4 linked regions of the Arabidopsis thaliana genome follow. The protein of the gene in region 3 purifies or fractionates together with the protein of the main gene of each other region. This does not show direct contact. Each region holds a gene or a part of one and is shown on either strand. Other genes may lie near its edges.

Evidence for each region.
Region 1: the proteins of NRPD1A (region 3) and NRPB3 purify together in Arabidopsis thaliana (affinity purification with mass spectrometry; 2 studies listed by BioGRID, with this or other methods). This does not show direct contact.
Region 2: the proteins of NRPD1A (region 3) and NRPB9B purify together in Arabidopsis thaliana (affinity purification with mass spectrometry, with the first as the bait; one study listed by BioGRID). This does not show direct contact.
Region 4: the proteins of NRPD1A (region 3) and NRPB8B purify together in Arabidopsis thaliana (affinity purification with mass spectrometry; 2 studies listed by BioGRID, with this or other methods). This does not show direct contact.

Annotation. Positions count from the first base shown.
Region 1 is NC_003071.7:6,731,717-6,739,688, reverse strand, and holds NRPB3 (DNA-directed RNA polymerase family protein), read right to left. Parts: upstream 6,156-7,972; 5' UTR 6,029-6,155; coding exon 5,580-6,028; intron 5,326-5,579; coding exon 5,088-5,325; coding exon of another isoform or gene 5,043-5,087; exon of another isoform or gene 4,933-5,042; coding exon of another isoform or gene 4,885-4,932; exon of another isoform or gene 4,480-4,884; coding exon 4,207-4,479; 3' UTR 3,870-4,206; downstream 1-3,869. UniProt on the Arabidopsis thaliana protein: DNA-dependent RNA polymerase catalyzes the transcription of DNA into RNA using the four ribonucleoside triphosphates as substrates. Component of RNA polymerase II which synthesizes mRNA precursors and many functional non-coding RNAs.
Region 2 is NC_003075.7:9,200,067-9,207,153, forward strand, and holds NRPB9B (RNA polymerases M/15 Kd subunit), read right to left. Parts: upstream 3,750-7,087; 5' UTR 3,696-3,749; coding exon 3,534-3,695; intron 2,881-3,533; coding exon 2,722-2,880; intron 2,544-2,721; coding exon 2,463-2,543; 3' UTR 2,286-2,462; downstream 1-2,285. Other genes in the region: AT4G16260 (Glycosyl hydrolase superfamily protein), read right to left, coding at 114-606, 725-1,208, 1,318-1,375; AT4G16270 (peroxidase superfamily protein), read left to right, coding at 5,014-5,298, 5,498-5,689, 5,770-5,935, 6,014-6,417. UniProt on the Arabidopsis thaliana protein: DNA-dependent RNA polymerase catalyzes the transcription of DNA into RNA using the four ribonucleoside triphosphates as substrates. Component of RNA polymerase II which synthesizes mRNA precursors and many functional non-coding RNAs.
Region 3 is NC_003070.9:23,357,927-23,366,019, forward strand, and holds the start of NRPD1A (nuclear RNA polymerase D1A), read right to left. Parts: upstream 4,562-8,093; 5' UTR 4,511-4,561; exon of another isoform or gene 4,378-4,510; intron 4,267-4,377; 5' UTR 4,222-4,266; intron 3,214-4,221; 5' UTR 3,201-3,213; coding exon 3,117-3,200; intron 3,034-3,116; coding exon 2,913-3,033; intron 2,816-2,912; coding exon 2,694-2,815; intron 2,614-2,693; coding exon 2,575-2,613; intron 2,488-2,574; coding exon 2,269-2,487; intron 2,193-2,268; coding exon 2,040-2,192; intron 1,952-2,039; coding exon 1,856-1,951; intron 1,806-1,855; exon of another isoform or gene 1,776-1,805; coding exon 1-1,775. UniProt on the Arabidopsis thaliana protein: DNA-dependent RNA polymerase catalyzes the transcription of DNA into RNA using the four ribonucleoside triphosphates as substrates. Largest and catalytic component of RNA polymerase IV which mediates 24-nt short-interfering RNAs (siRNA) accumulation.
Region 4 is NC_003074.8:22,012,256-22,019,934, reverse strand, and holds NRPB8B (RNA polymerase Rpb8), read right to left. Parts: upstream 3,560-7,679; 5' UTR 3,420-3,559; intron 3,307-3,419; coding exon 3,228-3,306; intron 3,002-3,227; coding exon 2,844-3,001; intron 2,331-2,843; coding exon 2,239-2,330; intron 2,124-2,238; coding exon 2,012-2,123; 3' UTR 1,574-2,011; downstream 1-1,573. Other genes in the region: AT3G59610 (F-box family protein / jacalin lectin family protein), read right to left, coding at 1-382; AT3G59590 (jacalin lectin family protein), read right to left, coding at 4,167-4,445, 4,540-4,905, 4,985-5,677, 5,742-5,768; AT3G59580 (Plant regulator RWP-RK family protein), read right to left, coding at 7,214-7,679. UniProt on the Arabidopsis thaliana protein: DNA-dependent RNA polymerase catalyzes the transcription of DNA into RNA using the four ribonucleoside triphosphates as substrates. Component of RNA polymerase II which synthesizes mRNA precursors and many functional non-coding RNAs.

The sequences.
Region 1 (7,972 bases), on a different chromosome or scaffold from region 3:
ACACTTTGTCTACCAATCTTGTATGTTATCATTTAAAAGTTGTATATATCATTCTATCCACCAATCGTCATAATAATTTCAATCATTTTGTACACCATTAAGAGTAACTTAATTATGTACACCATCATGTACACCATTATATTGAATAATAATATTTGGTTTATACAATCATTATGTTTGTAAAATATTAAAAACAATATTACTTATATTAATAAGTATAAGAGAAGTCGGTGATGATTTATGAAATATCGGTGTACACACTTGTACACCAACGAATAATGGTTAGTGTACAAAACGATGTTTTAAATGTTTGTGCATTATAATGATGATAGATAAATACTCTAAAAGTCAATGTAATTTTTTTTTAAAAAGAATATATATTTTTTAATATTTAAGAAAACTAAAATAAAAAAAAATAAAAAGATAAAGACAAACAAAATAAAGTAAAAATGGTTTCTCATATAATTTTTATTTACTCTCAAGATAAAGGGTATTTTAGTATTTGATATGTATTTTGTCTTTTAGTCTATTAGACAAATTCTCTATCTCACAAAAAACAAAAAAAGTGTCTATCTCTCTAATTTTAAAAAAAATTACCTACTTTACAAATTATTTTTGAAAAAGTGTCTACTTTGCCAATAAACCCTTTATAATATTGGGTACATTTTGGGCCATAAATTTTTAAAGAGCACATTATGATTAGGCTTATGAGGTTAGGCAGTTTTTGGCAAATGAAAAGACGATATTGCCCCTAAATTTTCACTCCATCTTCTCCGACGAACTCAACATCTTTATCACCATACAATTCCAATAAACCCAATAAAATCAGTTAAAAGCTTTTTGATGGGAGAAAGCTAAACCCTAAGGGGAAACTATATAGGGAACCCAAAGATTCTAATCTTATATAATTAGAATCAATTAAAAATTTCAATTGTTTCTTATTCCTCTTTTAAAATAAAGCGAGAGATGATGGAATTATGATTCAGATCCAGCAATTCAAATTCAAAGAAGCTATGGAGAATTACCACCTTCATCGTCGAGGAAGAAGATTGGCCAATCATAGTCCATAGATCTGAACTTTGTAAGGCGATGGAGAAGTAATGGACATCAATGGCGAGTTTAGAGGCAGTAGATTCTATGCCGAGAGAGAGAGAGAGAGAGAGAGAGAGAGAGAGAGAGAGAGAGAGAGAGAGAGAGAGAGAGAGAGAGAGAGAGGTACTACAAGGAGATGAAACTCAATTAAATTGAAGGGTAAAACAATCATCATATAACGTAGAAGTACCTAAATTTGTAAGTACAGTGAGATGTTCCTATATCCATAAAGGCGTACACTTTAATGTACCGATCTCGTAATTAATCCCACTTTTCTCTAAGAAACTATGGAAGGGAATAACTCGTTGCAAGTGATGAGTTTAATGTGATAGTTGGAACATCTTAATTGCATTGTTACCCTTCTTTATATTTTAAATCCCGAAAAAATATTGGTAATGGTTTTTTAAAAAAATTGTGCGGGTTTATTTAATCAAAGCATTTGAAACGGATTGTGTTAAAATGATAATTTTTTTGTTATTAAATCATAAAATTTAAAAAATTCTTCTAAAGTCTAGTGTTATAGAAAGAATGATTTTGGAAAGACTTTAGATGGTTTAATTTAGTAGATTTTCTTAGTGACATACAAAGATCTAAATCTCATTGTTTCATGTGGACTAGAAGGAGATTTCACACCATCACGAAACTTTTCTCAATTTGCCCAAAATTATCTAAAAGCTTCTTTATAACTCAAGTCATTTAAAAAATACATGATTAAATGGTTAAGAAGGCCAAAGAGTGACAAGAACCTCAAGTCGGAAAGTCGCAGATCAATCCTTCTTCTGGACTGGCAGGAAGGTTTGATCTTCTTCTCTTTCCGGAGTATGATATCAAATGTAAACTGATGCATCCTGGAGAATGATATCAAAGCAGCAAGTTTAGGTTGGACTAGTGCCGTGCTTAGACTAGTCTTGGTCTAGGACATGTTTTTAAAAATTGGCTATATGGTAATATTTCAAAAATAATACTCAAAATTCGAAACAAAATATTAGTAACAAAAACTAAGACCATGTACATAGGTGATACATTTAGAGTATCAAGAGCCATAAATAAGTTTTTAATAAATCAGACAAGACATTTAGGCCTAATACCGTATCAGTGTAATGATTCTTTTGATACCCAGTATCGGGTGATGTGGAGGCTCATGATTCGTCTGTGAAACTGGTTTTTTCTGGAAAAAAAAAATTCTATTATTCTCTCCGATAGTCTTTCTATTGTTTTAGCTAACTAGTTATATTTTCTGCGAGTGAGTAATTTTGCAGGCTCTTCGTGATTATGCGATATAATTTTGCAGTAATTTTATAATCCTAAGTTTTTATATATTTATTTTTTGATTTTCCAAATAATTTATTTTTTTAATGATACCAATATCGGTCTCACCATTGGAAACAAATTTATTACCAGTATCATAAAAAATCTCAAACAATAAATAAATATTAAAATTAATACTAAAAAATTGTTAATGATACTCATAGAGTATCAACTATGTGCATGCTTAATGTAAAAGAAAATCAAAATAAGTTTTTTCTTTGTTTTCATATGTTTTTCTAATAATATTATCTGTTTTTAATATTTGTTTTTTTTACTTATTATATATTACTAAAGAATATGTTTTCAAGATAAGAAAATCTCTTCTAGATAATGAAAAACGCATTTTTAATTAAAAAAATATTTATATCAAACTAACTAAATAGTGGGTTATTGTTGATATAGGTACTTTTTCTGAAAAATATTTGAAAATGGATACTTTCACGTTGTTTGTAAAAAAGGAACTTTTATATACGCAAATTGACTGTTTTGCCCTTATGTTTGACTTCTTCTCCTTGCTTCTTCTTCTTCATCGTTTTACTTCTTCTCTTTATTTTTTCCAGAAACTTCAAATCTTTTAATCATGTTGATGGTTTCCATTAAACAAGCTCTCATAGAAGAAATGTATACCATAAGAAGATAGTATCTATGGAACCCAAGGGCTCCAATCTTGAGCTCCGATAAAATTGAATTGAAGAGTGAGCGGGGAGAATTGTTGTTTACACGGAGGTCGTGTAAGAAAGAGACGGCGACAAAATTCACCGGCTCTCCAATGAATTTGAGCTGATTACGGAGAGAAAGCCAATCCAAGAAACGAATGCATATTAATCGGAGACGTGTATCTCTCCTATTGCGTTTGATTTAAAATTATTAATGGGATATGTTGTAGACGATGCTGCAATAGTGGAACAAGAAAAAAGAAACAAAATGAAATTTTTTTTTACAAAGTTGTAAAAAATGAAACTGTAAAACGACATTAGGTAAAAGTACCTCAATTTGTGAATACTGTGAAATTTTTCTATCTCCACAAAAGCACAAACTTTAATGTGCCGATCCCATAATTGATCCAACTAAATAGATATACTTACTTTCTTACGAAAATGTGGTGGCCTATAATTTTAAAAAATAAAATTGTGGCTGGACCTATTTGACCACTGGACTTTCGACTCACCACTCAGCAATGCGTGAAAATGTGGCATCCCCTCTCATGGCGTAAGGACTAGCGATACGAGCGGTCATCACTGCCACTTTGGAAGCAGAATTGAGAGATTTACTGATTGAATCTGATTGTTAATAATTAGTCCAAGTAATCAATGCCGGAATTCTCTTATCTAAGATCCATGACATCATTTCGGACCTATGAATTAGCTCGAAAACTTTTGAGTTTTTGTCTCTTGTTTCATTCCAAGGGAAGCTACTCACCATAACTTATTGTGTGATCGAAGTTCAAGAACTTAAGAGCTTTAAATTGGGTATCCACTATGCAAAAGTCTTTCATTCCATTTCAGTTAATGGTACGAATTTTAAGATTAAACTACATACTTGTTCCATTTTAATCATACTTGTTCAATGTATTGAATTTAATCCTTGCGTTTATTTTCGTTACGAGCGAGTCTAACAACTAACAACAACCAAACTTAACAAGATTCAGGAACAGAGGGATCAGAGGTCCAGAACAAATAGAAGACTGCCACTTCACATGTTATCAAACAAGACAGTGCCACTACGGTTAATATCAGTCTGCTCCAGAAGAAACTCAAAACCTGAAACAAACAGGTATAACAAAGAGCTCGAATTAATCACTTGAGTTCATCCTCCACGCATATGGGCACCGAGTTCACCAAACTGATCATCCGCTTCTACGGTGTCATCTGAGAGACGGACTGCATCAAGCTTCTGCTTCAGAAGATCAATGGCATTTAGTACCAGTTGGGAAGCCTTCACTGCACCTGTGGACTCAACAGTGAATATAAAACTGTCATCTTTCGGACTGATCTCAATGAGTCCCGGTTTCCCCATTGCTTCAGCTTTCTTGATCACTTCTTCATCGTAAGTGTATGCTTCAGGATCAACCACTACAACCTAAGAAGCAAAGTATAAAAATTACAGTTGTGATGATTCAAGCAACAGACTTCAAAAGAAATGGCATACTAAATTCCAACGATAAACTACTGTAACTGTTATAATGATATACAATGTTCTCTAGCGGGTCAAAGGAAAATTGTCAGTTGTGGTGAGTCCTAGTAAACACTGAACCATTAACATGAAATCTCCAAGAAAATTCAACTGGTACAGAGGTACTACAAGTACTATATCTTCTCCTTTCTTTATTCCCTTTACCATTCGAATAATTTGAAATCTCTAACATGAAATCACAAACAAAAGTTCAACTGGCACAGAGATACTCCAAGTGATTCATATAATTTGCAGTGATTAGATATAGAAAGATGTTTCAGTTTGGTACCAGAAGTTTAGCAGTTATTTGATTCATTCCGATGACTGGCGTAATTCTCCTAAAGAGCTAAGTAGTGCTATCTAACAGAAAGAGAAGCACAGAAAAGAGCAAATGCACTAACCACATCACATATATATATTTCAAGGCATGGCAGTCTATAAAGTAGTTCAATCATATTTAAGTCTCAAAGCTATAAACTTGTATAGCTGCATTCTTCCAAAACGTGAAAACTAACCTGTCTGGTGACTGGATCCATGCCAAACACTTTGGTAGGACTGCTCTCAATCAAGTCGATCTTTTCCTCGTCTGACAAAGTATCCATCATATCTTCATTAATAATTATGTCAGGCTCATACATAAACGTAACAGTAGCTGCAGGAGACCATTTCGCATGATCTTTCCCAATCCCTTTCCTCGCTATCGCTCTAAGCTTCAACTCTTGTCCCCGACGCAGTTTCACAATGATAATTCCCCTGAAACCCGAAACCAAAAACAGAGTCTTTAACCCACACAACCACCATAATTAAACATCAAACAATCACGAACAAGAAGAGTCATGCAAAGGGCCATCGAAAGGAAGTATTTTTCATCCTCGGAATGCTAAAAGATGCAAATTTTGTTTCACCATTGCTTAATCTCTAACGTTTCACAACTCCAATCGATTCATAATGACAAAAGAAACACCACATTTCTGCATTTAACAATCTAATGATGAAAAGGGACTTACTTGTGCTCGCTTGAATCAGATACAGACGAGTCAATAGTGAAATCCACAGGAGTAACAGTAGGATCAGCACTGTACAAATCCCTACTAGTAACATCTAGGGTTTGATCAGTAACACACTTAGAACTAAGCCGAAACTCAACAGAGCAAAACTCGCATTGTCCATCTCCATCACAAGCATCACAATCTCGAGAGAAACGCATGCTCATAGCACGTTCGCTAGTGAGAGGAATGAGACCTAATCGATGAGCAATGAACTCGTCGTTGAGTACAGATGAATTAACCTCGATTTCGACTAGATCTATTGCGACGGTAGGGACTTCGGAGATCATTACGCGACGGAGAGCGTTGGCCATAGAAACGTCGGTTTCACGAAGCTCGAACTTGGCGTAATCATCTTTAAGCTCACGGATCTTGATCTTTGGGAATCTTTGGTATGTGGCACCGTCCATTTCAAAAGCTAATCGGTGGTTTCTGACGACTCTCTGGACCTTTATTAGGGTTTTAGGGATAATGAATTTTCAATTTCTTCGCCGGAGAAGGAGATAGGAGAAGAAATCAGAATAAAGCAAAAGTGAGAAAGATATAAATATTAGAGTAATGTTTAAAGTTGGGCCTATATGGGCCTTTTTAATTCTTTTGGCGAAAAGTAATGTCACCAAATTTCAAACAGGCCCATATAAGCCCAACTCAAATGTTTTTTTTTATACCTTTTCCTTTTTCTTTTTTCTTTTTTTTTTTGTCAAACGTATACCTCTTTATTTAAGTTCTTTTTTCATAGATTCTTTTATCGTACTCAACAACTCTACGAGATCTCATAGTATTTAGTGATATTATAGTCATATATTTGGGAGGAAAACACCATGTATCAAAAAATTTGAAATGATCTCATAGTACCATTAACCATTACAACCCAACTAATTTTACTCATCAAACCAATTGACTCATCAACTCATTTGACCCATCAACTCATTTGAGTCAAAATTTTGAACTCATTAGAGTTCATGGGTTGAGTTGAATTGAGTTGACCCATAAATTTTGACCCATTTTGACACCCATAATCAAAATGTTAACAAGTTTAGTTAAGTTTCTTTAACAATATTAAGGACAAGATGTTAACAAATATTTTAACATGTGAGTGTTAAAGGATTTCATCATTCTTTAATCAACAAGCACTGCCTAATGCATTATTTAGATCATCACAAGGACCATCGTTATAAACTCTTACAATGCTTATCCCTTTGATTACTCTAAAGAAAATGGAGAAATGTGTAATTTGTCAAACATCCAATGGTAAGAATACATTAGACACCATTTATACATTTATCTAAACCAAAAATACTCAATTTTATTTTAAGCTACTAGACAAGAACATCCAAAGTTTATTATTATCTCTCACAAATGATTAATTTACTCTTTGTCTACGAAAATAGAATGCAAAAATTCCCATTTTATAAAAGAAGAAAATGGTTCGGCCAAAACAATACGACAAAAATAAAATAAAAAAAATTGGGTAATGTTTGTACAATTAAACAAGTTATATCATTTTTCCTACTTCCAAGAAAATGAGAGTGCAACTAATAATATGTGTCTGATTAATTTTCTTCATATGTATAGTGAAATCTATATAAAATTATATATATATACAAAAAAAAATTCATAGTTTACAAAGAAAGCAATAAAAACAATGTAAGTGTTTATTTATTATTTTAAAAATTGGGTATTGTTTAGGCTATGGTTAAAGGGTTAAGAATACAAATTAGGAGTATTTGAGTATTTGGTTAGTTAAAAACTCTTTTAGTTTTGAAGGAGATCATCGAGATACTGTGGCGAATTTGGGAAATCGAGGCATTGTATTTAGAAATTTTAGAACATCAAGATTTAGGGAATGCAAGATCTATGGAATTTGTAACACTTAGGCAAGATTTAAAAATCTAAGAATGTAGCAGATCTGGATTCTAGGGAGATCTAGGAGAAGGTTTGTGATAGAACTGATGCTTGGAAAATTCTAATTGAAGAAGACATTGTAGCAAAACTAAGATAGTTATTTATATATCTACAAATCTAATATATTTTGATGCTATATTTGCCAGATGTCGCACATGTACTTAAAGCATCAACCCAAAGTTGGCTTAATGCTGCTGAGTGGACAACGCTTTATGACAACAACCATTTACTGTTCCTTGAAACAAGCTCTTTCACTATACTTATTAAGGAAGACGGACTCTATACAGTTGACAACAACTTCATGCAGGACAGGAATACCTGGAGAGTAATAAGTACCCACTCCACTTGCAGAAATCCAAACGTTGTCTACGATGTTAAGATTGGAAGAGGACTCTACAGATTTTATGATGATTGGGATTGTAACAACTGTTTATATATATATATATATA
Region 2 (7,087 bases), on a different chromosome or scaffold from region 3:
CGAGTATTTAATTTAACTTGGACTAACAGGTTTTATTTGAAATTTGTCTTTATTTGGAACCTTTTATGGGATAATCTCCCAATTATTCACATAAATCTCAGCATATAAAATCATCACTCAACCGCCGTACCGTCTCTCGCGGCAGAGAATGTGATCGGAAATTTTGGTTGTTTATTAGGAAAAAACAAACCAAAATTCTTCTCGATCTCAGGACTCTTTTGATTCTCATCAAACATAGCGAACAAATACGTTTCCACTCCTCTTCCAGGTCTCTTCGGTGTTCCTCTGTTCTCTCTCACACGCGACGCAAGATTCGTGTAAAAAGCTCGCGCGTTATCGAAACTCGCGGCGTTTCCACCGTTAGAAGGCCATCCGCTCTCGGAAACAACCACTGGGAGAGATCCACCGCCTGAGCGTTCAACGGCAGAGTAAACAACGTCAAGTAAAGCGTCAAAGAGGTTTTGGTAGCCACGAGAGCCGTCCCATACGACGACGGAAGGAGAAGTGAAGAGAGCGTAAGAGAGAGATATGTCACGTGGATTGTCAACGTAGCTGAAGTAAGGATAGATGTTGGCTAGTAACGCTGAGTTCGTACTCGTAAGAAACCTAATTAGCCACATAGGAAGAAATTAAATAATCATTCCACAAGTAACCAGAAATGAAAAATATTGGGAAATAACTAAATCTAATGAATTTTGGTTATTTGGTTTGGTTGGAAAATTACCCGATGACGGGATCGATATACCATCTAACGTCACCACGAAACTCTCCGGAGGAAGGAGGGAAAGAGTTTCCAATCAAAGTCATATCAATGGCGGTAGAAACTTTAATACGATCTTGAAGATTTGCACCTCTTAGAGCATCGTAAACGTTACGCATGGCAGGGAGCACAACATCACCGCCGTTCGACGGAGATACTTCGTTACCTACGGCGATGTACTTGAAGCTAACGGCGGGGTAATAGTTGAGGACGTTGTTTTGGAGCCATGATCTAGCGGAAGAAGGGTTAGTGAGTGAACGAAGATCGGTGTTTGGAACGCCGATGATGACTTCGATACCCGTGTTTCTAAGAGCGTTTAAAGCGGCTTGGTTTGGATCGTAGAGTCTAACACGTCGGATGTTGTTTTGTCTAAAGAGAGCGATTGTGTCTGATTGAGAAGGAAGGTTGTTCCCCATCATTCCATAGCATACACCTACTGATTCTCCACCTAGTTTATCATATAACATAATTAAGGTTAATTATGATTAAGTTTATATATCTATAAAAATTGAAAATGAGAATAAATCATGTGAGATTAAAGAGAGAGAGAGAGAGACTTGTTGGGTTGAGGATGGTTGTGATGAATAGAGCAATAAGGAGGAATAACGTGGTCATATTTGAGATCTTACGTGTTTTAGCAATTGCTAGTTGCCTAATTGGGTTTGTTCTTAGCTCCTTATATACAAATTAACATTGATATGTATGTACTTACAATTTTTTTAGTAGATATATATAGATGCGTATAGATTGTATATAATGTAGAATGGAGTGGCTAATATCTTTGTTTATTAATCAAAGTCAATAAGTCATTAGTCGGGTCAAGTAATCAAGTACATAACGTTAGCTTGAGTGCAAATATGCGTTCAATTTATCAAATCTTATATGCAAAAGAGAATATCTTTTCAAAAAATGGGTAGAGAAATGTCACTTTCCAACTTGAGAAATTAGGACATTGCTTATTTTTGCCAGCATTGACAAATCAACCTTGCTATTTTTTTTGTTTTTTTTTTATCATACGAAATTTGATTTATTTGACTGCGTCTATGTAAATATTTGTTAATGTTTTAGAATGACGAGAAACATGTCTAATTTGGCATATTTGTGTTTTACGTGTAACAAAACTTGTGCAATTTAGATAAGCTCCTAAACAGTGTCATTGAATCAAGTATAATTCCACTCATGAATTGGTTACTGATTTTTTGACTTTATGAACTATGATGGACCAAGTTGGCTATTAGCTAACGTAGTTTTATCATATTTGCTTACAAAAGAAAAAACTTTATTTGAAGATATTGTCATCACTTAACAAGAGCAGCCGTATAATTCGATACGATGACGAAGTAAACACAGCATTATTAAAACAATTTGGTTTAGAAGATTAGATTTATCAACTTTTTATAATATCACACGTTATAGCAAAGTTATAGCAGCCGGCGGCTAGACTCCACGTATACAAATTTTCAACACTATCATGGTTTATGGACGAATTTTCAGATCGGCCCCGCATAAAACGACAAATTTATAATTAGACCCACATAAAAACCAAAATGATCATAAAAGACCCTGAAACAATTCAAGAAACCCGAGAACAGTCTCATAGTATTCATATTTTTACACAGAAAACTCCAAATTGAATTGTATAAAACTCATAAAGCGGAACACAAATACACGTTACATTTGAAAAATGTAGTCTTCTATCAATCTATTCTCTCCAACGGTGACTACAGTTCGGGTTGCAGCAAACGAAAAACAGAGTCATTCCTTCTTCGCCTCTAGCCGTGGCCTGAAAATTCGATGACACACACGAGCTATATCAAACCGAAATAGCCATAAGCACATTAAAAAGCAAGAGAAAGAAATCTCTTTTGATCTTTAAGTTAGATCAGAGAAAAACGAAAGAATGTTTCTTTACTCCTTGATTGATGACGAATTAAAGATTAAGATATAAGATAATGATTCACCTGGAAGAAGACAGCTTCACCGTGTTGACACTTGGCGCATCGCACAGCCTTGGTACGTGGAAGAGTTGGGTCGGAAGCAACGTCAGATAGGATCTGAGTTTGTTCACTTACAGAGTGATGAACCTCGTTTCTGTAAACACAATTGTTATCTGCTGCTTCCTGCAAAGCCAAATAAAAGAATATAAATTTCAAGACCTTCTATCAACAGGACGATAAATAGCTAACAGTAACTCAGTAAGTTTATAACTAATTCGGTTAGCAAGTCCGGGCATTAAGCTAAAGATCCCATACAGAGATTCATCTAGAATGGTTTTCAGTAGCTAACAAAGGCATAATGCTTTGTAATAACAAAACATAACACAAACAGTAGAAACAAAAAAAAACTCAGATTCGGTAACACCAATGGATATTGTTGAAACTCAAATGGTTTTAGAAGTTAAGTTGCAGAAACCCTCTAAACGGTTTTTAAAAGGTCTTGCGTTTGTTCAGAAGTTCTCAAAGAACTCTTTATACTGATAAGCACTACTATCTTAACCAATCAGATTCATGATATGAGAGACAAGGAAAATGATCTAAACTCATTAAATTATCATTCCTTGGTTTACTTCAAGTTCAGACATTCGACCTTTAACCGTATAAGCGATTACAAAGAGTAAAACATCAGAGCTTAAATAAATATCAACACAAATCATATACAAGTGAACAACTAAAGTCTATTGGTTTCAGCCCTAGCTTTGTTTCAACACCACATTGTTCCATTAACACTAAGGAAACCTAATTTTATAAAAGAAAGCATAGTAAACAAAGTTTACCTGGTGATCACAATTACGGCACGCATAGAGGAGGATTGATTGCTCCTTGTCTTCCTTGGGATATAGAATGTTATTACTGAACATTTCAAAAAAAAACAAAATCAAAGGTTCATAAGCTGCAAAAGTGGAGAAAAGTTGGAGCTTTAATCCAATAGAAAACATAAGCAAACCATCCAAAACTAAAATTCCGACAATTAGAGACTTAAGAGAACTGGGTACAATATATAATTCAATATGAGCTAAGAAATGAAAACCCAAATTTCAATTTCAGAAGACTAGTATAAAAGAGCAGAGAACAGATTCGTTTTGACCCCCAAAATAAAAAAAACGAAGAGATTCGTATTTACCATTCGCGACAAAATTTCATAGTACTCATCTTCGCAGAATCTTTAGATAACGAGCTTTTGAATGCTTCTTTGATTTCACAATCAGTCTCTTCGTATCTTTGGCGGGATTTGTTCACTCGGACATGAGAGAGAAGAGGTCAAGCTCTAGTAAAGACTAAAGACTGCGTAGTGGCAATCGGATGTAATTTCATGAACTTTCTCGGGCATTTAGACAATAAATGCGTAAAGCCCATGGGCCGGCCCATATCAGAATTTAACTTGTGGGGTAGAAAAAAATACAAATAAAGAAATACGAAGAGGACAATACGAAATAAATTTGACCCTTTCTTCATTGAAGACTAGTGTACTTTTTCTTACATTAACAACCACATGCATATCCCCATGCACCTTTATATCATTGTGAAAATTATTCGATATTCATTATATAAGTTCTGTTCTATTAAAAATATGAAAGAAATTAAGCACATTATATACTACTAACTTCTGTCAGATTCCAACTGCTGAATTGGTCTGTCTTTTAACTACTCCTGACTCTATAGTGTATACCGACACATCTCTCTAGCACTTGCACTAGCACTAGCAATAGTAACAACATGGTTTATTTGTGTGTTTCCTCTTCATTCATTACAATATCATTACTACTCTTTTGTTCCTTTTTATTACAACTTACTAATAATAGCCATTAGCCAGCCACCTTATGCAATCTTATCCCTTATCACGTATATAGTTTAGTCCAAAACGTTTTGTTTTGCTCAAATAATAATTCATGCATAAAAAACAACAAAAAACACACAATTATACATGCTGATCATAAATTGTATTATGAGAATTTGTTAATCATTTGGTATACTAACATTGCAATTTTACTTGAATATTTGCCAATCTACTTCTTTTATATATACATACATTTATTGACGTACGTATGATTAATTTGACGAGTACATAATATGTAATTGGGTTGTTGAAGTGCACATGCAGTCATGCAGTCACACATACATATATACGTGTTATGTATGTGTATATAGTTGAATTGTTTCTATAAATATGGACACACATACACTAGCTTTCTAATATAGTACCAACTCCATTGAATGTTAAAACTCAGAAGAAAGTGGAGTGATCATATAACGACAATGAAGAATCTCTTTAACTTGTTCCTTATGTTTTTCTTTGCAATGCCAATTCTTTCACTCTCCGAGAATCCAACCAATTTCAGCGAGAGTTGCGAAGACGGGAGTGGAGAAACCGGTTCAAGCTTTGGCATAGGGTTCGATTTGGTTCTTGATTTTGGTTTATACCGGAATAGCTGCCCCGAAGCAGAGTCTATCGTCTACTCGTGGGTGGAAACCACGGTGTTAGAGGATCCAAGAATGGCTGCTTCTCTTCTCCGTCTTCATTTCCACGACTGTTTTGTCAATGCAAGTCACATCTCATCTTAAGTTTGTTTTAATAGTTTTGGTCTATCATCTAATCCCCGTCTTTTATATACCATTGAACCGGGAAGGATTATATTATGTTAGTTAAACCGTGACAAATCTAAATTGTACCGGTTAAGTAGGGAATGAGTACTACGAACCAGAATGTGTTTTTGTTTTTGACTTGCATTATGCATTGCAGGGATGTGATGCTTCGGTGTTGTTAGATGACACAGAAGGACTGGTTGGTGAAAAAACGGCGCCTCCTAATCTAAATTCTCTACGAGGGTTCGAAGTGATTGATTCGATAAAGTCTGATATTGAATCTGTATGTCCAGAGACCGTCTCATGCGCAGACATTCTTGCCATGGCTGCTAGAGATTCAGTCGTTGTGGTAGTTATCATCATATTATAAAGTTGATGAACTCAATTCAAATCGTCTATGTTTAACATTTTTAAATCGGGTTTTTGAAGTCGGGTGGACCAAGGTGGGAGGTGGAAGTAGGAAGAAAAGACAGTAGAACAGCAAGCAAACAGGCAGCAACAAATGGCTTACCCTCACCAAACTCAACCGTATCAACTCTCATCTCTACTTTCCAGAATCTTGGCCTTTCACAAACCGACATGGTCGCTCTTTCCGGTATACATTCTCTTGTACTCTTCTTTATCTTTCTCTAGACCAACCCAAGTTATTGATACTTACACATATGGAAACCAGGTGGACATACATTGGGAAAGGCACGGTGCACTTCGTTTACAGCTCGGTTGCAGCCACTGCAAACTGGACAACCAGCTAACCACGGAGACAACCTTGAGTTCCTCGAGTCACTGCAACAGTTATGCTCGACTGTTGGGCCCAGTGTAGGTATCACTCAGCTTGACTTGGTGACTCCATCAACATTTGACAACCAGTACTATGTAAACCTCCTCTCGGGTGAGGGATTGCTTCCATCAGACCAGGCTTTAGCGGTTCAAGACCCAGGGACAAGGGCGATTGTTGAGACCTACGCAACAGATCAGTCGGTTTTCTTTGAGGATTTTAAGAACGCTATGGTTAAAATGGGAGGGATACCCGGTGGTAGTAATAGCGAGATTAGGAAGAATTGTAGAATGATTAACTAAAAATAAAAGCCCGACTTATTGAATGATATCTAATTATCTATATAAAAATTAAAGAAGTCCACCTACGTAGGACTCTGATTTTACGTAATCATTAGAAGAGCGAACACATATATGAAGATCAGGAAACTACAAATTGATAGATCTCTGAAAATGACAATTAGAGTTGGATTTTGCTAAGATCTAGTCTCATTATAAGTGATGAGCTATCTATGAATGTACATATTCTATTTATATAATTATATATGACTCCTAATCTGGATCAAAGTTTGGTTTACCCAGCTAAGTTACTACTAGTAACACAACATGAGACATAACTTGCGCTAGCTATGTTACAACAGGCCATTGTTTGGCAGCTCTTAAAATGAAAAAGGAGGAGATATCTGATTAGAGAAAAGATAGAATGCAGATGGTCTACGATCGCCTATCTATTATAACTGAAGGGGTTAACTAAAAAAATCAGAGACTAAGGACACTACCATTGCTGCTTTTCCTCTCCTTGACTAATTAGTTCCAGAAATTTCTATCTAGCTACTGAGATAGTTTAGCTCCTCGTCTCATGTACCTGAAGTAGAGTATCGATCAACACAGAGGTAACTTCAACTAAAGAAACCACATACATTGGAATGTGTTTCGGTATGGAGAAAATACAAGAGAGAGGAGAGAAAGGGTA
Region 3 (8,093 bases):
TCAACGGGACCATCAGTCTCATAAGTAAACTGGACTAACTGGTTTCCGAAAGAATTTCTCACAGTGCCATCATAAGCAGCGTATATGTCCCGCATGAAGAACATTAATCTTCTGCTCAGTGTCCCCGGGAGATCAGCATTACCACTGAATGAACTGTCACGACTTGTAACTGAATGAACAAAAGATTCCAATGGATTCAGACCCGTTAGAAACGAGTTCTCAATGACTCCATAAGGAACATATGACTCAGTAGTGGTACTGTCTTTTCCCTTTGCGCCACGAAGTGGACTGTTCGGGTCATTCCAAGCAGCGCAAGTCAGTTCACGCGGAAACCCAAAGGACAAAGAAACTGCTGAATTCTGCAGACCGATACACATGCTGTGCTGAACCAGCTTCCCGATATTCCCTTTGCTGCCGGCTTTCGACATGATCAAAAAAGAGTTGGATTGATCACCATACCTATATGCTAGTGCCTGAACATCTCTGTAAGCATCCTTAAAAGCACTGACTGCAAGTTCGCTTAATGTAGCGGATTTTTGTCTCTCATAGCAGAATCGGGCCAAATCCGATACTGAATCCTCTTCCTTATCCTCCCCATTAACTGCAAGGAAATCTCTCCAAGATTCAACCATTAGCTGTTGCTTGTTGCAAACTTGCTCAGCTTCCCGCAACCCGTATGATATCTCTTCAGTCAAGTTTTTTCGAGACTGCAGATCAGAGGAAAGGTACAAATCCGCCAAGGACACACTCAAACCGCGCATCAGCAACCACTGAGATAGCATTTCTTGAGCGGAATAGATGATATCAAGAACTTTCCCTTTGTCGTGTTTGAGCAATCTCTCGATGAAATTCCCTTCTCCATCTCTGAGCCAAGCAGATCCTTCAGAGAAAGACAAAAGCTCGCCGTTACTCACAACTACATTATTCAGAGGATAAGTGTAGTCAAACCCGGGAGGAAACAGCATTCCGAATAGCTGCATTCCCGTCCATTGAGGCTCAGTGCTCGAAGGAGAAGCTTTGATAATTGCAGGCGGAGGAAGCTGAAATGGGCAATACATTTGAAGCTGCTGCATCTGAGCTCGATTAAGATAACAGTTCTTCTCAACATTGACCAGATAAGCCGCCGTCAAGCTATCTTGTCCTAAAGAAAGCAAGTTCCGACCATTCTGTCTGTTGATAAGCTGCTTATCCAAAGCAACAAGCTCATCAAGCTCGACCTTTGCTTGAATGGACTGAGGAACGTAACCGTGGAGACAATCTCCATCAAAATCACCACGGAACGGCAAACAGCAGATCGGGTTCAAGGAGACAACAGAAGTCGTTGGGAGGATTCTAACTGTCATTGCAATAAGCGAATGCTGATGAATCGAAGGCGGTCTGTTCATCAGCACAGTGTCTCCATCCATTAAACTCCGGAATATTTTGTCTCCGGTTTGGAGGTCATTGACTTGAATAGCCACCAATCTATCTCCTCTTCTCACATGCATCTCTTTATTGTCCAACAGTGTGGGGACAAAGGAAGTGACAAGCCTTTCTTTATTGCACTGGTTGAGATGCTCTGATACTTGAAGCCTTTTTGCGATACTCTCGGGTATGCCAATCTCGTTGAGCTTCAAGGACGGATCACCAACAACTACTGTCCGGAATGTATGATCACTTCTTTTACCGAGCAGCACGTCTTTCATGAACCTTAGACCGCAAAGTTTTGGTGTATCAGACTTCTTCTGGTACGGATTTGCGGAATCTTTACTCGAAGACACAGTTTCCGAAAAGAGCTGTGCAAAAAACAAGAAATACTACTAACCTTCACAGAACAGAAAGAAGAGTTTAAATCTATCAGGAACCACTAACTTACTCTGGAATATTGCATGCATTCCATCACACGAGAACTCAATTCAAGTGTGTTTCCCTCAAAGCCGACTAGTTTCTTGTAGATCCGAGTCCGTTCATCCTTCAAAAATGTGACAGAAACTCGAAAAGATAAGAGAAATACCATAGTATATGATAACAAATTATATAAACAAGCGTTTTTAGCTTACAAATATTAGCCGAGCTCCGTTGAACTGATGAACTATTTCGGTTACACGGTAACCATTTGGTGTAACAGGAAAAGATGTCAGACCAAGAGAGTTGAACATAGGGATATCCTTCTTGATGAGCCTCTGATCAATCCCTAATAACAGAGCATAAACCTGCAAAAAGGTGAAATTTTCAGAAAACTATATATAGTAAGAAGTCATGGAGATGGTACATTTCACTCTTCTATACCTGTGCATGCGTTATTATTCGCCTTGTTGGTTTCAAACAGCTCTCGTCGATATTAGAGTCTTGCGGCAAAAAACTCCAATAGTCAGGAGGCAATGTTAACACTCCCCGTTTCTTGAGTTTCATCAGACTCTCTTCGTTTACTTCAACAACGATTCCGGATCGCCTGAAGACTTCTTTAGTAGTTACCCTAAACTTCATTAGAGGATAACCGGTATTCAACTGATATATAACAACAACAAAAACCGAAAATTAGTGTTGGAACAAAGTTTTAAACTGAGAAAATTAGTTGCAATCATATATTCTTACAGTGCAGTATCTACATCTCTCAGGCTGGTCTTCGGTAATCTATATCAAGCAAAAATGACATTAGTATATGTAGTTCCAAAACACACAAACCAACAAAGGATTTGGAAAGACTAGTGAACCTGAAACTGCTTTTTTCGAATGTATTTACACCCCGGACAGATTTTGTTTAACAACGCAGCTACCTCCTTGAGGAAATACGGGTTTATTATCGAGTACGCGAAGTTTATAACCCCGAAATGCCCTAAAACAGAGAGAAAAGTAGCAAACTCAGGGAACTAATCATAAAATGAGCTAAAAGATTGGAACAATATTTGCCAAAACCAGATTCTTTATGATACCTTCGCAAACTTTTCGATCTTTGCTGCCACAGGTTCTGCAGACAGAATCCGGATTCGGTAATCCTAGCCGAGAATCAGTCACCTGATTCGGTGCTTCAACCTCTAGCACAGACATTTTATCCTATAATAAAGTACCATTACATTAAATATTTGCTCCATCTACTCATAAACAAATCAAGAAGAATAAATAAGGACAACACTTACTCGATCATTGTTGTTTGAAATGCTAAAACCTATCGAGGTTAGAGTTCCCACGGGAACCTGAAGCTCCTCACAATCGTCTTCCATGTTGAAGAGTTTCCTACAAGAAAAAAAACCATCAGTAAGGAAAATTTAGATACGTAAGTAAAAACATCAGTTTTTATAAGCAAGTTTTAGTGACCAATTCCAATGTGCAGAATATGAAACAAAACCAATATTTAGCATTTAGACAGACAAAACCAAAAAACTCGCTCTGACCAATACTAACCACTGAGAAACAGACAACTTCACAAACTATCTCTGTGAGTGGCCACTTAGAATCTAGCATATATCCAAAGAAAAGAGAGAACATGTTCAGGGAAGAAGATTCTAGCTCAAAAATATTTGACGAACACACAAAATAGTTCAAACTTTGAACACACATTATTGAAAATTAACACTTACTTCTGTAACATAAAACAGAGCTAAAACTCACGGATAAATCGTCGAAAAGATCAGTTTCTATCTGTACCCTCTATCATCAAATCTAATGTGCAGCAGAATATGAAACAAAAACCAATCTTTAGCATTTCATTGACCAGAACACAAAAACCAAAGCAAACTCTCTCTGATCAAAAAATTGACCAAAGAGAAACAGACACTTTTGTTAAGGGACAAAAGTGTTACCACAATCTTCCTCTGTGACTGGCCTATCAAAAACAAGTTATAGATTCGAAATTGAATTTACTAATAGAATCTAGCATGAACCCAAAAAAATAAGAGAATACATGTTCAGAAAAAGAAGAAAGAAAAAAAACTGCAGAACATACACACAAAAAGGTTCAATCTTTGAACATACACTATTCATGGATTAAAAAAAAAAAAATTCACTGACCAAAAAAAAAAAAGGACAAATTTTCCAAATGTTCTTCTAAAGGACTCACACAAACCCTTAGTGCAAAAACATTCGCCGCCTTAAGATGATCTCTAAACGAAAGAAATCGATTTCTCATAAGAACATGCATAAACCAAAGTACTTAACTTTTCACAATCATCCAAAGTAAACAAAGTTCATAGAAACAAAATCGGAGTTCAAAGACAACGATCGATCAAATTTAAACAAAAGAACCGTGATAAGGAATCAGACACAGTGATCAATCAAAAAAAAAAAGAACTCAAATTGTTTCAAAGAGATAAAAAGAAAATTACCGAAAAAGGTTTTAAAAAAAAAAACGAAAGAAAAACCAGAAGAGAATTGAGGAAGAACAACAATGTAGTTACTTACTCGTTTCGTCGAACAGAGAATCCTCACTATGTAATGATCCAATTGAAACAGTGCACAGACAAAAACTTCTGATCCTTAGCTCCGACGGAAGATGCCGGAGAAGAAGTTGAAGAAGAGACTCTAAAGAAAGAACAAAAAAAAAGAGAGGAAAAAAAAATCGAAATCGGAGGCTTTTGAGAAGCCGCCGTTTGTATTCCCAAAGGAAACGGGAAAAAGTGAGAAAGCAGAGAAAACGAAAAAAAAACTCTTCTCTAAGTCCAATGGGGACTTTGGAATGTGAGACACCAAAAAAAAAAAAAAAAGAAGAAGAAAGAGTGTAAATACCGAAACTACCCCTTGACCTGTACCTCTATTTACCTACTTTACGAGTACACCTTTTACCTTTTGGAAATCTTTTTACTTCCTCGGTTGTATTATTTTAATTACTTTATGATTTTCTGTTTCTGCGAATTTTACCTTATTTGTATAAACTCTGAAACTGGGAAGAAAAGAAAAAGTTGAAATATCCTTCCTTAAGTATATTATATTAGCTGTATTAGTTTTTTACTTTTGGCCTAATTTTAAAACTGACAAAAAGTTATTAGAATAATTAATACTTTTTATTAGTTTAATGTAATATTTAAATAAATAAAAATAAGTGTATAACTAAATTTTCATCTTAGCAAAAAAAAAAAATCCTAGTGGTTTTTATTTCTAGCTTGATTTTTGGTTCATAACTATAATATGAATAGCGGGAAAAAAAAATATAATTTGAACCAAAAACAAATTCCATTTCTTTTCTTATATGATTTTGCGATTTTTCTAAATACTAGTTATAATCTCTAAATAATCTAAAATTACATAATTATACGAATTTATTTGTGAAGTTTGTGTTAGTATCAATCAAAGTATGATATGTAAAATAAAATTTTGTTTTACGTATAGTTGAGGCTATAAATTTGTTATCTTTGATTCGAAACATTTATATTTCGTTAAAATATATTTTTGTTCGATAAAAAAATTATGTGTAATTAAAATATATTTTTTGTTTGAAAAACAATTACAATTAGTTAGCTGCTTAGACAATTATCATATAATTTTATAAGAGGCGAAATGTGATAAATAACTAAATTAATTGAGACAAAAATAGATTAAAATTTATAAGATCTAGAATCTTATTTGAGAGTATGTGAATGTCCATTAATAAATCAAGATATATAAGTGAAATCAGTTTTTCTTGTCGGCGACGTGAAATTAGATTCTTGTTTACGTGAAGTTCACGCTTTCGTTTGTAAAACAGTTACATAGTTAGTTTAGTGGTTATTTATTAAAACAGTTTAACATATAATTATTACTAAAATATACTCCTTCTATTTAAAATTAGTTGTCGTTTAAGGTTTTTTGTCGGCGGCGTGAAATTGAATTTTTGTTTACGTGAAGTTCACGCTTTCGTTTGTAAAACAGTTATATAGTTAGTTTAGTGGTTAGTTATTAAAATAGTTTTGTTTAAAATTATTTGTCGTTTAAGATTTTTTGCAGTGAAAATAAAAAAAAACAATTAAATTTTCTACTTTACCCTTGTTCAATATAGTTTCTAAAAAAATTATTGGTCAAGACATTAATACTCACATTTTTATTAAACATTTGCATTAAAAAACTAAAAACGATAATTATTGTGAGATTAAATTTAAGTGCTAAAATGATAATTAAATTAAAACAAAATGAGTATTTGTTTTGAAAAACATGTAGTAGAATAAACTAGACTTAAAAATGTCCCAGTAAATTTTCTTATTAACCTTATAAACTGTAAACATTTGGGGTAGTCTAGTTAATAAAACTATTTATAATGCCAGAAATAAATAAATAAAATTGTGAGAAAAACTATTATTGAGTTTGACAACTTGATGACCCATTATGTAGGCTCACATCACCTGACTAGACACTAGACTACTAAAAATAAGGATATAATAAATTTTCTTCACCTATGATTGAACAAAAATTAACAGTTGCTTTTCAAATCCAAGCATGTTTAGAATAAAAATTTCGTCGATTAATTCATTACTACTATATGTTAAGTTAACAATTTGAAAATAAGGTTTGTGTTGATTCGTGATCTCTCATTTACAGCTTTCTCCTGAAGTCTTCAAAGAATCGTACAAAGGTCGAAGTGTGACGACAGCAGTCAAAGAGGGGTACAACTGTAAACTCATCATTTTGTGTGCAATATATTATTCTTAACTCAAAATTATACGTTTCTTTGTTCGCATTTAAAGTTGCATGCATTAAAACGTTTGGTTTACGTTAAAAATAATTAAGCTATTGGACGTTTTTGATAATCATTTTTTTTCATTTACTACAATTCATGCACGAGTCTGGATTTGTTAATTGTAACACGGCAACTACAATATAACACATCATCATGAAAGCTACAAAGTAAAAACTCTAGTTCTCAACAAGTAATGTAACCGTTTGTAATACAAGAAATCTTTGCTTTCATATCTAAATTTTGTTTCAAACATATCACTTCACCAAACGGGATCATACATTCATACATTACCAAAAAATTTAACTTCAACACTAATTTTCTTTCAAAGTGGTTAACTTAGAAGACTAACAATCGTAAACATTAGAATCGGAAAAGATTTAGACAAATTCAATCTTGATTTCATTCATATCTTACTTGAGAAAAGTCACAATACAAATTAAGATGCGTAATTTCTACGCTGCTTTCTTTCCTTTTTGCATTGGAACCTGATCAACCCATCAACATGAATCGACAATTGGTATTCATTATTCGTTGTATTATTATTCTTTGATTCCTTTATTTTTTTGCCTAATTTGTCAACTTCTAAGGTGCGTTAATCAATACCGAATTTCAAGCATTTTTGAATCATTTACCGTTTACACTGATTCATGAAAGAAAGACAAACAGTACTTGTATTAACTACGAAACAAAATTTAAACCAAGATTGAAAAGTAAGTAAATTTATACTTCGAAAATTGTGGAAGTAAAACAAAAAAAAAAAAAACCAAGGGTCCGCTTTTTGTAAAGCGACCTATAATTTTCCACTAGAATCTCATGTTCTGATGTTGTAGGAAGTACCTTTTTTTTAGTTTCAATATTTTTTTCTTTTTATCACAACTTGTAATAATGAGATTAAGATTCTGGTTGCACTATTAAAATAATGATGTATGTATCTGTTTCTGACTCATCGTATGGTATTGTTCCCTAATCCCTATCAAATACCACTCTCTCTGACTATATATATGCATGGCATTTTTATATTCACATAGATAAGGACATCATTTTTGTAATGTGTTTATACATAGACTATGTCACAATTTAAAAATGGAAACAACTTGAATTTGCAGATATGGATCGAATATCTCCAGTAAGAAATCTACATTAACGAGTTTTGCAGAATGCAGAGTACTGCTATACATTAGGGAGATAGAAAAATGTTTGTGTCAGTTAATTTTTTTGAAATATCGTTGTAACTTTTAGCCAATCCTCTCATGTAAAATAGGCAACCGGGTCGTGCCATTGGCAATAAAAGTTAACTTCATGCATGGTCCTACTTCTGCGATACATAAAACTAAAAGGATTGCTTTAACGAGTTTGCCAAATAGCCGCACGAGACAAGGAACTTCGCTTTAATAATTTGTCCGCCGATGAAAAATGAATAATCAAAGAAGTTGTTTTCACTTATTAAAAAGTTTTAAATATAGTATTAGTA
Region 4 (7,679 bases), on a different chromosome or scaffold from region 3:
AACTGGATTTGAACCATCTAATCTGTCTCAGCCATGGGTTGCAAATCCCAATCCCATAACAGGTTGCATAAAGAAATAACCCGTCGCAATATTCGACGTGCATGGGCATATAAAGTTTATAACCGGGAATATCTGAGGGCAAGTTATGCACCTCTATAGATGGGCCGTCAAGATTAACGTCCACCGAGCAAATCTTGGATTCGGCAAGCAAGATGAATTGTGGACGGGCGAGACCCAAATCACTGTTGAAGAACCTCCTTTCCTTGAAAAGAGTGTTCCATCTCTTGCAAACACATCTAAATCGAGCGAGAATTTGTATTGGAAGGTGAGAGAGTATCTCTCCCTCCAAATCATACGGCAGGTCATGATCTGGTTGCATCATACCTTTTTTTTAGCTTTATGATAATATATCAGAACAAGATAATATATAGATGGATGTGTATAACAGAAATTCAATGCTTACAGATACTGCTACTATTACTACATGAAGAATATAATAACTATATATATTAATAGATGGGAAAATGAAGAGAAAAGAAAATTTTATTTTTATTTTTTTAACTTTTGTCCATAAATGATTGTAATTAGGAAAGAAAACCTATAAAAAAATGAATGACTGTAGATATGAGGCAATTAGAAAGAGAAAATACATATAATCTGGATGTGAGTGAGTAGATTTGTATCAGAAAATAAATAATTATACCAAAAGTTAGATAAATAAATAAAAAATATTATCCCTTTTTAGAACATGTTTAATTTAATTTAATATATATGAAAAATATACTTTTTACTTCTTAGATACCTATATTTTTTTTGTCAACAAATTATATAATAATTTAAATAGAAAGTATATTATTTGATTATGAAATGAAGTAAAGTAACTTTAGTCATGGAATAAGTATGAAATCTAGCACTGACAGAAGACTTTCTCTCAGAAAATGTAGGGATAAAAGCAGGACAGCAAAATAGTTACGGAGAAAATGTAAGAGGCTGCAACTTTCACATGTATCCTATGATGATTAGTCCGGTCTTGATGATAATTTTGGACATGCAAAAAGAAGAATCAGTTACGTGTATCGTTCTAGTTTAAATCAATAAATTTGTGAATTGTGTTCTACGAACGTTTTGATGATTTTCTTTATAATCCAAAATCGTACACCCAATATGAACCTAAATGCCGCAAGTGATCACAATTCACAAATTGCTAACCACTTTTCAGAAGCACATATATAGCGGATCAGAGGAGCCACGGATCTTCTTCTTTCAGGGTGGTTACCTAGAAGATCACAAAACAAACGGTATCATAGAAAGCTTGATACATTGTTAAGTCAACCAAAGCCATTTTTGATTCCATGAGTTTGACAATCTACTTGATGCAGATCAAGCAAAGAATGGAGAAGAAGACGGACACATGAGAGCCAATGGCATTAGTATAAGCTGCAGAGAAAGCATTGCAGTTGAGAGGCAATAATCATAACTCACTCACTAAATCAAACAGCTGCAAAATCAGGATCCGAGTATTTCCTCAGCCATGCTTATCATGGTTTGGAGGTAAACAGCGATAATACGCATGAGCCTCATACAGTTGGGAGAAGTGGGAAGGCGTCTGGATACAAGCATGAGTAACAACAACTCCAAAAACTTCACTATCACAAAGAAAAATTCCTGCTACGCCAGAAACTGACTTTTTTGTTTTATTGGCTTAGTGTTATTGTTCAAAGAGAGAATATTACTAAACACATGTGAGAGTGTTGTTAGAAAAGAAACAATTTTTTTGTCTCTGTTTGTTTTATAACTTATTGGCCTCAAGTGGTTATCATCATTCATCAACAGCTCTGAGCTACAAGCATAATTCAATTGGACAGTTAAATATTGGATGTACAAGAGTTGCTTCATGAAAATAGTATTTATAATAGCAAAGTTTAACATAAGATAAAGCTTTTATAAGAAAGCTCTCTGTTAATTCGGTTTTTATGCGAATATTCTCGGAAAGTGATTAGACAATGGCATCTCAAAGCTTCCTCATGAGTAGAAAGAGCCTCTGGTCAAGTTCGAAGTGAGAAATATGAGCTGGATCTCCCTGAAGCAACATCAGGAGCCCCCCGAACGAAACATATAACTCTCTGCAAACACATAATTGCAAGATAGAAACCGAAGCATGATGGTTAGATCTGTAAGTTAAATTGGATCTCTTTGGGAAAAAATGATTTTGTTGGTCTAGGTATATGGGATTCTTACGCTTTTGGAGTTTTGCCGTCACGCTCAGAGATCTTGTAAAGCTTCCCGTGCATGATGTATTCATACTTATCTGCAAGTGTTTTCTTTGCTCCCTGTAACAAAGCGAGATGGAAACTAGATTAGATTAGCTAACAACAATCTTGGTTTCATGATTCAAGAGTCAAGACACTAAGTCTTGCTCAAATTCCACATGTTTACTCTTATTCCTAGATAGGCTTCCTGAATCAAGCCAAAGCAATTGTTCTATTAAGCAATTAGATCAAATCCTAATACATGTTCTTGTAATAGAGCGACATGGAAACTAAATGAATGTTCAAATTATCAAAGAAAACAGTCTTGGTTTTCAAAGATAGGTTTTAATTCAATATTCAAGAGACTAAGTATTGCTCAAGTTTTCATATGATTAGTCTTATTCCTATCTCCTGAATCAAGCCAGTGGAATTAGTCATATCGAGCAATTAGCACTTAATGGTATGCCCCAACCAAAACCTTAAGAAAAGTTAACTGGCCTAACTTACTGTAACCATTCATGAGATTTATCCAAGCAAGTAAAAAAGAGTATGCAATATACACCAAAAATCTAACATAGAAAAAGCATGCAGTACCGGAGTAAAGTATCCGGTATCAGGAGTTCCATCGAGATTAAGCGTGGGAGCCATAGCCAGCGTGAACTTATCACCAACAGCCAATGGATAAACCTCAGTGTTAACATCTAAATGCATAAACATTTCCAAGTTGTGGCTCCTTGCTTCAACACGCGTAACTGTGTTACCACAAACACACAGAGACGCAATCAATTTGAAGTCAGAACAAACAAACTTTAGGAGGCTTAAAATTTTAAAAGTTGAGATCTTTTTCACACTAACTTGGATTCCAATTTATCTAAAACTTAAAACAAACACAAGAAACTAGGATTCATATCAGAAACTCGATTTAAGCCATGACAAGCATTACAAATCGTGACTGAGGTTAAAAAAAAAAGTAGATACCTTTATCGAACTTTTTGCCATCAGGGTCTAGCTTATCGACCACGAAGATATCCTCGAACATGATAATATTGCTCGCCATCTACAAACACGGAGATTCAAACCCTAAACACTCTTAATTTCATGAAAATAATCCGATTCGACTGGCATAAAACAACTATATGAGCATCTGGAGAAATCGAAAAGCTGAATTACCTTCAAAGGAGATAGAAAAGACGATTTTTTTCACCAGCTCCGGAGGCTCAAGAGGCAGAGAGAGGAACGGCGGCGAGAAGAGTGTTAAGGAGGGGCAGAGAAGAAGAGAAGCGAGAGAGAAAGGATTTTTTGTTTTTTACTTTTTCATATTATTACATATATTCCTTGTAGTTTGGTTTATTTACATATTTTCCTTATATTTTTACTTATTACAGAAAATACCCTATAGATTTGTGTTTTTCCGAGACATTCCATGTATATTTTGTTGTTTATTACATATGTTGCATTAAAGGAGAGATCAGAAGTTTGAAATATTGGAGTAGGTGCATGGTTTGCTGAGTATGAGCAATAGTTAAACACTAGTTGGTTTGCAAACTGATTTCAATCGAGCGAGAAAAATTGTTGGAAGGTGAGAAAGTATCTCTTCCTCCAATTCCCACGGCTGGTTCTCTGGTTGCATCATATATTTTTAATGGACACGGTCGAAAAGAAAAAAAAGAGTTTATAGATGGATTTGTATAGCAGCGTTGTTGTTTGCTTGCCTTGTCGGTTTAGGGTTTCAGAAAGAAGGATTGGAAAACCCTATTTCCCATTTTACTCATAAGTCCAACTTTTTTTATTAGGCTTTTGCGAACCCAATAAAAAACACGGCCAGTAATATTCCCATTTTACTCAATCGTGCATGTTCAAGAAAAACGATCATATTCATATCCAAAAAAGAATTATTACTTTTTATTGGCATGATTATTAATAATTAAAAACTGGTGAATGGTTAGGAAACGAATAATATAGAGGGGGTGGAGAGAAGTGGACGCCGAGAGCAGTGAGGTGGACACCAGAGCTTCTTCCGTAAAACCCGATGGCCTTGGAGCCTCGTTCTCCTCGAAGCGAGAAGGGCGTCCCGTTCAAGCGTCCGTACTGTGGCATCATGTCTCCCTTGCGCATCCGAAATGTAATGGAGGTGATATGGCTTTCAGTGTAGGTCCCCTCGACGGCTTCAATGTAGTCGCCTCCAGCGATCATAATCTATGCAAGAAATCCATATGATATGTATGATAAAACTATATATAAGTTAGAAACTAATAAATTAAGAAGTAAGAAATCTCATCACGTCACGTACTTCGTCGTCTGGATTATGTGTTGTCGCATTTCCATGACCTGCTCCGGCTTCAATCCGGTTATATTTGGAGTAGTGAAACTTGACAAAGACCGTGTCAAAATCATTTACTCCTACATTTATTTTCTTCACATTGTGGAAGATGCCGTCGTCCCACTCGTTTCCTCCATCGCTCGCTTGTATTCCTCTAGGGGGTGTGAAGCGGGACTCAACCTGCTGCGTTTTACTTCTATTGCTCATCGTGAACGTTGGAACTGGGACCAAACTAGGAACATAGGTACGGTGATGACGAGTAGGATACTCAACCAAATCGTTTATTATAATTTCATGGAACTTATCTCCCTTGGCAATATAAATGCAAGCCTTTTCCTTCTTGTTCAAACAACACAAATGCGAGACTGAGGGTTTTATCGTCGATGAAGTAACTTGGCGGATCATAGCTTATTACTCTTAAACTCGACCATTTAGGAACTGACACTTTCATCAAGTTCATCCACTCCACAGCCTTTCCATTCTCAATTTTAATCTCTTTTTTTGTTACCCAAATCTCTATATTCCTTGTCTCATAGTTTTGCTCTAAATACGAAAATCGATCTCCCCTAAAAACTGCAAGGGACCTAGCATTGCTTGGATCACATTTTTTATTAGGCAAGAGACAATAGGGTTCAAATTTCTCCGTAGAAAAATCAAAGCTTTGAATAAACTGGTCATCAGACGCCATATGGAAAGCAACCCAATACAAAGCTCCATTCAATGATACACTATAGGACGACATAAAATCCCAATCATATGCAAACTCGTACGGTTTCGAAATCCATGCATCGGATACAAACTCGGTGATACTAGCTTTCACGGTTGTATCGCTATAGGGGCAAGACTCAAAGATCTTGTAATGATTTTCGGGTCTAGAATTGTCGTATCCCACCCCATTGTAACGATAATTCACTTTGGATTTGATCCATCTAATCTGTCTCAACAATGGGTTGCATATCCCAATCCCGTTCTCGGTAGCATAAACCACTAACCCGTCGCAATATTCGACCGTCATGAAGAAACCATTATAACCGGGAATATATGAGGGTAAGTTATGGCTATGCACCTCTATGGATGGAACATCAAGATTAACTTCCACCGAGCAAATCTTGGATCTGGCAATCAAGATGAATTATTGTGGATGGGCACGAGCCAAATGATTATTGATAAACCTTCTCTCGTTTGAAAGAGAGTTCCATCGTTTGCAAACAGATCTGAATAGAGCGAGACACTTTGTTGGAATCAAAGTGAGTATTCTTTCCTCCAATTCCCACGGAAGTTGTTCTAGTTGCATTATGTTATCTGTTACGGACGAGTTTACACAATTACACCCCCATAAGAATATATATATATAGATGAATTTTCTATTAGAATTTTATAGCTTACGTTAGTATACTACTATTACATAAAGATATAACAAAATAATAACAACAATAGGTGGAATAAAATGAAAAAGTAACAATATTAATATACCTTTTTTTTTTGGCAAGCAATAAATTAATTTGTTTTGGATGATAATTCATATGTTATCCTATCATAGATTATTTTTTTAATAAAAAATCTAGTGTTATTGGTTATAATAAGAATTGCTAAATCCAATGCTATTGAACTAATGAATTTGAAAGAGTATATTCAAATCCACTTTTATTGATTTTTTTTTTCCAAGATTGGTCTTTAATGATTTTAAAGTGTTCTAGGTATTCAAAAAAAAAAAAAAGTGTTCTAGGTTATTAGGAAAATTCATAAGTTATCAATTTTACTATATTTACCCAAAATCATCTATAACTCACAAAAAAACTCAAATCATTCAAAATAGATAACTAAATCACCCCCTCATAATACAATAATTACTGTAGATGTAAAAATTGAATAGAAAGAAAATATTGGAACAATTGATTTATGGTAAAAAAAAATGGGTGTTTAAAAAAAAAGAATATATATGAGTTAATTAGATTCCAAAACATCAGTTTTTCATACACTCAACGAAAGTGTAATAGGGTAGCTCATTTACTTGCTAAACAGGGTTGTCTCCATTGTAACTATTACTCTGATAATGTTTGTCCCCCTAGTTGGATTCTTGAACAATTGTATCATGACTTTTGTCACTCTTAATCAATAAAATTCACTTTCGACAAAAAAAATAAAAAAAATATGAGTTAATTAGAAAGCTTTATCAATAAACTATTTTAGATCGGATGTACGTAAATAAACTTATTTAGATCCAAAATGAATAATTATACCAAAAGTTATAAAATAAAAAGAAATCTAGAAGCTGTTAAAAAGAAATCTGGAATATAATAGCCCTATTTTAAACAACTTTAATTTAAGTAGAATATTTCAAAAGAAATTAAGTTGGAAACATGAAGATGATGACAAAAACAAAACAAAAAACATGTATGTCTAATCTGCAGTCCACAGATTTGAGCTTCTATCTCCTTGCGTTTCTGATATATTCAGATTTACTTCTACGACTTGTTCGAGACAAAAATATAGGATCTGTGTGATGTGTCTTTCTATGTTTATATACATTCTTCAACTCCACTGCACCCTTTTTTTTTTTTTTTTTTTGTCTTTCTACATGAGTAACTAATGTCAGACCAAACATAGATTATCTGTACATATTTAAGCACAATAACATTGATGCTTAGGTGCCTGTTCCGAGGTAACCATTGCTGCCTGCGGAACTTCCCATTGCGGTGTTCGGTATATCACGGACCAGAAACTTCACTGTATGTTTTCTCATACCATTTAATATCTCGAAGCATTCATGGAGATCAGAATCTGTGACCAACATCACCCATTCTTCTTCATCATCCAAGTATTTCAACTGAAAGGCACCTTCTTGCAGCTTGAAACGCTTAGCCACTTCTCTGTAGAGCTGAGAACACCCAACAACGTATGGATCAAGCTTGAAACGTACAGTGTCCTCTCTGTAAGTGGCTTTTACGGTTAGTGTTGAACTTGATCCGCTTTCACCGCTATTGTTATGAGTTCTTATTTGGTTCCAGTTTTGTTCCAAGGAAGCAGATGAACTTCCCAGCAAAACTGCTCCTGAGCTATTTGATGAATCCGACATGCTACTTGATATGGAGTGGTTTGGTTCTACAGTT